Callithrix jacchus: one gene and its partner. The protein of the gene in region 2 interacts with the protein of the main gene of each other region in a pairwise test. Links are inferred from orthologs where the notes say so. Each region holds a gene or a part of one and is shown on either strand. Other genes may lie near its edges.

Evidence for each region.
Region 1: the proteins of FEZ2 (region 2) and SCOC interact in binary tests that used the Homo sapiens proteins (3 or more experiments, as listed by UniProt). The link is inferred for Callithrix jacchus from reciprocal best matches to the Homo sapiens genes FEZ2 and SCOC.

The regions. Positions count from the first base shown.
Region 1 is NC_133504.1:56,574,305-56,578,619, forward strand, and holds the start of SCOC (short coiled-coil protein), read right to left. Parts: upstream 3,048-4,315; 5' UTR 3,042-3,047; coding exon 2,783-3,041; exon of another isoform or gene 2,724-2,782; intron 1-2,723. UniProt on the Homo sapiens protein: Positive regulator of amino acid starvation-induced autophagy.
Region 2 is NC_133515.1:78,448,362-78,452,180, reverse strand, and holds part of FEZ2 (fasciculation and elongation protein zeta-2), read right to left. Parts: intron 3,607-3,819; coding exon 3,531-3,606; intron 453-3,530; coding exon 387-452; intron 1-386. UniProt on the Homo sapiens protein: Involved in axonal outgrowth and fasciculation.

The DNA of each region.
Region 1 (4,315 bases), on a different chromosome or scaffold from region 2:
AATTTGCTGAGTTCTTTATGTCAAAGTATTTTAGCCATGGATTTTATTTTCTTTTAAAATAGTATTGATCCTCAAACTGCACAACGCCTACATTAACACAGTAGTACATCATAATAGGTTCTTAATACTGAGTTTTTCAACTTTTTCAACTATAAAATCCTTTTTTACCTATAGTTGCTATAACATCAGTCTAACCCTATGTCAAGTATGCTCTTAGATTTCACTTTCAACTCCTTCTGCTCCTACATATAAATGCAAATCTGATGAAAAACGAGAAAATTCAGACCAAGTCTGCTCAAGTGTGGGAACACTGAAATGAATTTGGGGTTCTGAGGCTGCTCTGCCTATCCTAAACCACCTTAGCCCAGAAACAGATATGGTTCACTGAGATTCTTCAGCTCTGATTTATGTCTAGGTCAGACCTTTTAAAGGTTTCGCAAAAACCACAGTAAATTTGGGTATCTAGCCTTGGTTAGTAGAAGGGAATCTAGAATTATTTTTTTGCTAAGTCCAAGAGACAGACAGTATTGAGAGAATACAAACAAGGAAATGTGGCAAGCATTAGGACAAGATCCACTTAATTAAATAATTTTGCCATACACACATTTGTAACCAAAGCAATTATCTTACAAAACATGCCCCATCTTCTTTTATAGTACCTCTAATAGTATACAATATCCACAATACCATTCTCCTCAAGAGGCAGCTTGGCACAATGATTAACAACATGGACTCAGTACCTGGATTCAAATCCTAGCTCTGCAATTTATAAGCTCTGGAACCTTAGGCAAGGTTAACACCTTGGCCTTAGTTTCCTCATTTGTAAAATGTGGATAATAACCGTACATGTCTTACGGGTTTGTTGTGAGACTGAGTTGATAGATACAATGTGTTTGCAACAGTACATAATAGGTATGCAATAAATGCCTACTATTATCTTCTTTTTTTTTTTTTTTTTTTTTTTTGAGACGGAGTTTCGCTCTTGTCACCCAGGCTGGAGTACAATGGCGGGATCTCGGCTCACCGCAACCTCCGCCTCCTGGGTTCAGGCAATTCTCCTGCCTCAGCCTCCCGAGTAGCTGGGATTACAGGCGCGCGCCACCATGCCCAGCTAATTTTTTGTATTTTTAGTAGAGACGGGGTTTCACCATGTTGACCAGGATGGTCTCGATCACTTGACCTCGTGATCCACCCATCTCGACCTCCCAAAGTGCTGGGATTACAGGCGTGAGCCACCGCGCCCGGCCCCTACTATTATCTTCTCTACCTTTTAGCTCTAATTTGGGTCACAAAAAGAATTTTAAGAAAACCATCTGGTCCAGCTGCTTCATTTTACAAATAAATCACGGCCAAAGATGCCAACGGCTTACTGAAGACCACAGAAGTAGTTAGCAATAGGGCCAAGACTACGACAAATGCCCAAGGGTTTTTACACCATTCCACCACAGCTACTGTCACATCAGAGACTTGAGATTTTGAGACTTTTTCCTAATATCCGTCCACCTTCAGCCACTCAACTTTTCTGCATCTAAAATTGATTTCACCATCTGTCATACCAGAGAACTAGTAAGACTGCTAAAATAATGTCTTCGTGCTTTAATGTGCTAAAAGCTTTGCATATGTTACTTCATCAAATAAACAGAAGGAAATTGCAATTTACAGATACGGACACTAAATTTCAGAAAGGCTAAGTATCATTCAGAAAGGCTATCATTTCAGAGGTTTCACAGCCAACGTCTCTACCACGAATTTGAACCCAGGTCTAACTTCACAATCCATGCTTTTTCCATTCTGCAATGGAAGAAACTTCAATATGGCCCTAATCTTAAGTTTGCCAAACATTTTGCAACCACTGATGTCAAACTCCTTTGGACTCTTTACTAAGCAACTGAAGATAAATTCCATTCCCTTCAGTTTGTCTGTTCAGATCCGTTCAAGTTCTGCTTTGACTTGTTCTGGTTAAATTCCGTTTCAAATTCCAAAAGATCAAGGAATTGTTTGGCCAAATGAAGATTTAAACGGAATAGATATTCTCAGGGAATAGCTAGCTACGCTGACTTTAATCGGTGAGGGATACAGGTACCAGAATACATGGACATAGCTTTGGGTCCTTGGGTACAGACAGCGTGCTAGGAACACCTGGAATGGCATCCATCCTTATTGCTGCGCAATAGTCTGAGGTTGATACATTATATAACAGAAGCCCTGCCTTTAAGCCCAAACCTTTCCAAAACTTGTTCAGTGGGACTCTGGGCAGAAGTCGATGAAGAAACAAACCCAGGTGCCGCTCTCGCAGCCTGGAAAGATGTTCAAATCCTTATTCTATGACTCACGAGGCTCCCTCTCCACCTCGTTGTCCTCTCCCATCTCTCAGGCTCTAGCAGAGCAGCCACTGCTACGTCCAGGCGTGCCAGGTCCCATCCCACCCAAACGCCCCTCCCGCAGTCCCATTCCAGAGCTGGAGGCTGCAAAGCGGCTCCCGACGCGGGAGCTGCGGGGAGAAAGCAGCAGAATGTCTGCGTCAGGGACAGCGGGAGGCCCCTCTCCTAAAGAACGCCTGGGCCTGACCACGAAAACAGGAGAAAAAGAGGATGCGCAAGGGTTCTGCAGGAAGCCAGGCCTCCGCCGCCCACCAAATGCCCAGGCCCGAGACCGCTCCTCGTGGGCCCCAGGTGCGCAGGGCCGCGTCCTACCCACCCCGCCCTCCAGGCCCTCAGCGGTACCGAGGCCGCAGTTCTAGTCGCCTGGGGCCAGGCCCTCCGCTGCCCAGGACAGTCCTCACCTTCTGCTGGAGGGGCCGGGAGAGAGAGGGATGCAGCCGACACCTCGGGCGGGGACACTTGGACCAACTGACACCGGCAGCTCCGCCCACTCCGGTCACAGAACGTGCGCCGAGAGAAGAGTCCCGCCTCATCCCGGCCCCTCACCCGCCAATCCTGACTCGAAAATATACGCCTGCGCATTAGCCGCCACCGCCCCCCCAGTAGTCCAATCTCAAAGCTCCGGGATCCACCTTCGCCATAACAAAAGGACACTGACATCCAATCAGGATTGAGGTGGCTGTGGGAGGGGCCCTGGAAGAGCAACAGCCAATGACAGTACAGAAGCGAAGCGAAGCCGCCCTAGTGAAGGGGCTCCTTAGGTCTCACAGGAAGCCTGAGAATTGAAGTGTGAATCTCAGAATGGAGAAGTCAGGAAACAGGTTGGCATGAGCGACCGAGAAGTCATTCAAGTTCAAGAAAAGATTGTTTGCGAACCGAACAGAGAAAGTCAGTGCGACACCGTGGTTCCTCAATTCTAAGAGCAGACTTTTTCATATTTTTCTTATTTCCAAAATCGGAAAGCTTATAAAGTAGCGCTAGTGGAATGTTTCTTTCCTCACTCCCCTCCTCCCAAACTATTATTAAATCTGTAGTGCGTGACCATTTAATATTTTAGAATTGAGAAAATACCCTATTGATACTTAGGCATAGCACGTCTGCTCACCTTACCTGTTGGAGCCAGCAGCAACCCACAGAAAGGAACTGAAGCCTGATTGTAGATACATGTCTTGCTCAAGGTAAAACATATGGTATGAAGTGCCAAACTCTGAGTGTAGAGTGATCTTTGTGACACCACTCATCGTAATCTAGCACTTGACACAAAGCGGCATCCTACTTTAATATTCATTGAGTACAAGGTAGGCATCACAGCAATACATTGTTATTTTGGCTTTGGCACAGTCTCCTGAGCTGTAGAGACAAGCCTTATGTCTCCCTGTTTCTTGACTTTTTACTTCTGGCACCGTTTGCTGACACATTGCCTTAATCATTTTAAGAGCTCTATAAAAAGATCTTCCATTCAGTGTTTTGAGAACTACATTTGGCTGGGACTACAATATTCAATTTGAGGAAATTTACTAGAATGCAATGTAGGAGCTAAATAAATGAAAAAAATTCAACATAAATCTAATAGAAATGCCAAAAAAAGAGACTAGAGAGAATGGACGCAGTCAGTATTCAAAGAATAATCATTAAGAATTTTCCAAGATTGTGGAGTATTTGAATTTTCAGGTTCAAAAAGTACTTATTCTTGAGCAGAATTAATACAAAGAAATCTATGCAATGGTGACATTGCAGGATACCAAAGATCAAGAGAAACTATTTTAAAAAACTTTGTTTTTGCTAGAACAGTATTTTTAAATAGTTTTAATTGTAGTGAAATATACATAGAATAAAATTTCCCATCTTAACCATTTTTAACATCAGTAGTATCAGATACATTCCACACTGTTGTTCAACCAGTCTCCAGAACCAATCTCTCTTTTCATCTTGCC
Region 2 (3,819 bases):
CTAACGATCTGTCCTTCCTTTGCACTGTCCCCAAGATGACAGACAGAGACCGTCCTTCTCAAATTTCCGTGTCAACCTGCCAGCATCTGATATCCACATGATGATGGCAACATCTCACTAATTTTCTTCTACTGCCTCCCTCAATGTTTATAGTTTAGCTGTGGAGATTATTTCCAGCCCAGAACCTCCAACAAAAGTTAAATTTTTTAAAACCATAATATATCATGTTGGTAGAAGTTAGTCATGTATCTAATCCTCATCCTGCATAATAAGATTAATGAAAGTTGTGCATTGGGAAGTTACTATCTAATCTATTAGCAAGACAATGCATTTATTGACTAATCCAAACTTCCCAGCCATCACACCTATACCATTGTAAAATTCACCTTTCAGAATATAATCAGTTAACAAGCTCGGAACCTTTTCACTGTCCTCCTTCATGGCACGAAGAACTGCAAAACAGAAGGGGGGGAAAAAAGACAACAAAAAATTCAGATCAAAAATATTATTTAATTTCAATCATTGTGGCCTTAATCTTCCTTAATTATAGGATATAACTGACTTATACTAATTATAGGTGATTTTCCTGATAAGGGAATACAACAGTAAAGTCCCAACCATTTATTTTAGTGGAATATGTTCACAAGAATTTATTTTAGGTAAGAATATCTACTTACCTGAGAGTTATTTCCCTGATTTAAAATTTCCAAACAGTGGAGGCAAAAAAAGAGGAATCAGGTTATTTACATGGAGCCTTCGCTCTGTAATAATACTGGAAAGTGGGTTACTGTAATGTGCACCTCAATGAACTCCGTGCAACAAGAGGACCTCATTGCTATAAAACAAGCAAGCTAGAGAAACTCTTAGAGAAATGAACAGTTAGCTATATGCTCCAACAGGCATATCTGTCAAACTCCTTGGAAACTTTCAAAGAAAAGACCCAAATGAAGAACAGACTTCCATGAAGCAGCACGTGGCATCTGCCTGGCTATCTCCTCCTCTGCAGTATGGAGGAACCTGGGTGAATTAGCCTTATCCTAAACGGACACTTTTATCTTCTAAGTAAAAACTAAAAGAGAAAAAACAGCCACCTAGTATAATGTTTTTCTTTTTTAAGCTAGACCATTCAGGTTGAGATAAACTCACAAATATTGTACTTTAACAAAGATTGTCAACTCAAAATTTTTTTTTTTTTTTTTTTTTTTTTGAGATGGAGTTTGACTCTTGTCACCCAGGCTGGAATGCAATGGCATGATCTCAGCTTACCACAACCTCCTGCTCCTGGGTTCAAGTGATTCTCCTGTCCCAGCCTCCTGAGTAGCTGGGATTATAGGCATGAGCCACCACCCCCAGATAATTTTGTATTTTTAGTAGAGATGGGGGTTTCCTCCATGTTGGTCAGGTTGGTCTCGAACTCCCGACCTCAGGTGATCCACCCACCTCGGCCTCCCAAAGTGCTGGGATTACAGGTGTGAGCCATTGCACCCAGCCAGCCAACTCAAATTTTCTCCAGAGCATCCTGGTAGAAATATTTCACTGTTTCTCCCCACCCATATGACAAGGCAATATAACATAACTGTCAAGTCAGCCTTCCTAAGTTTAAAACCTGGCTCTGCCTCTTCCTCACTGTGTGACACTGAAAAAGCTGCTTAACCACTTTTGCATAAGCTCTTCATCTGTGAAATGAGAATAATAATTGCATTTAATCTCAAAGGTTTGTTCTGAGGACTAAGCTACTAATTCAGATATAAAGGTCTGGCACATGTATTATAGTGCCTGGCCAGAGTACATGCTATGTAAGTGTTAACTGTAACTAACACTACTAATATTGTTAAAAATTTTATTACTATTATTATTGCACCCAGAATCCCTAACAGCTTTTAAGAGGAAGACTATATATCCATAAACAATGTGACTGTCTCCACAAGGCTCTTCTTTTGGAAAGAAAAGGAGCTTTGGACCCAAATATGTCCAAAGATTCCAAATTGTGTCAACCTACAAAGACAACTTGATGTTGGAATTATGATGGCATTAGTTTGACCAACAAAGTATTTGTTCTTGATCTGAGAAGCTGAGGCTTGCCAGTAATTCCTGGCTTATGAGCAATATTTATTTATGTTCCCTTCTTTAAAGGGCTACCATGTTCAGTATTTCTGCTTCCAATCATGTTTAAAATTTTTTCTAACTTCTATATAAAAACCACATACTAAAAACCAGCATCATTAAAAGTATAGTTTCCTGGGAATTAGGAGACCCAGCTCTGTAATTACCCATCCCCTGTGGGATCTTGGACGCACATAACTTCATGAGTTCTTCCTGAAAATAAGAGGGCTGGCTACCCAGTTAATCTCTTGATTCTTTATTTCAGACTGGCTGGCATTACTTGATTTATCCATATTTAAATATAAAACTTTTTAACGTATTATTCACCAAAGGAAAGAATAAAAGCTCCAAGTTCCTTGGATTTCCAAAATAAATATCATCAACACTCATCCATGTGATGCTTTTTCAAAAGATCAGCAATTCAATCCCTCCATATTAACAGCAATGACAATGAGGCTAATTGATAGTAACTTAGCCCAAATCATGTACATATTAATCTACTTAGTGTGAGGTAAATAGAACAAATACTTTTTATCCTAGTTTTTCAATGTGAGCAAAAGAGAATAAATAACTTCCAAGGACATCCCTGAAAATAACAGGGATAGAACGAAAATTCAGAATTCAGGGCTCATTTACGGCTATCATAAGAGAAATTCAATATAACGTATATTTAAATCTCACAATTGTTTTTTTACTGCAAGCCCCTTGTAGGTGGATTGTCTGTCAGCTTTGTTCACTAAAGTATCCCAAGTTCCCAGATCATGGCCTGGTAAAAAGTAGGCCTTTACCTAATATTTGCTGGGACTACAGACACCTGCCACCATGCCCAGCTGATTTTTGTATTTTTAGTAGAGATGGGGTTTCACTATGTTGGCCAGGCTGGTCTCCAACCCGACCTCTCGATCTGCCCACCTCAGCCTCCCAAAGTGCTGGGAATTACAGGCCTGAGCCACGGCGCCCTGTTGCATGTTCTGAAAACATTACTGTCAATTTGTATTCTACCTACAACTACTACCTCAGGTTCTACATTCATAAGAAATAAGTGTTTACCCTAAATCTTTCCTATTCAGTTATTGACAGTCATATAAGATCCATAGAGAATTACATTTATGATAAATGGATATGTTCTCAAGCATATAAGAGAGGATGAGGATTCAGATAATGCTTTTTCCCAAAATTTTAGCTCATAAATATTTCATAAGGTAAGAAAAACAGAAAAAATACAAATCAACACTAGAGGTACTGTTGTACCTCCAGTAGTAGTAGTAGCCATTTTTGGCTTCATTCTTACAGAAATCAACAATGATATGCATCATTTACAATCCTAAATTGACAAAAAACTAACAACAAAACCAGCCAGCTAAAGTCAGGTGTTTACCAATCAGCAAAAGTAAATCAGGTAATAGTTTCATTTTGTCTTTGCTCACTTTTTGTTAATATTTGAAGATCTTCAACAGATGGCGGTCCATTTTTTTTCTCATAAGGAATGACTGTAGTCAAATACTGCCAAGTTAAAAAAACAAAACAATATGTCACTTAAACCTGCATTTCCTTATCTGCAAAACATTTGATACTGTTACGAGAAGGTCTATTTCATAATATAAAACACGAGCTACTTTGGTAATGAAAACACAGGTAATGTATGAGAATAAAGGTATCTTACTATCTCAGATGGAGCTCATTTTTTTTTTTTTGGCCCATCTCTATTTGCTTGAT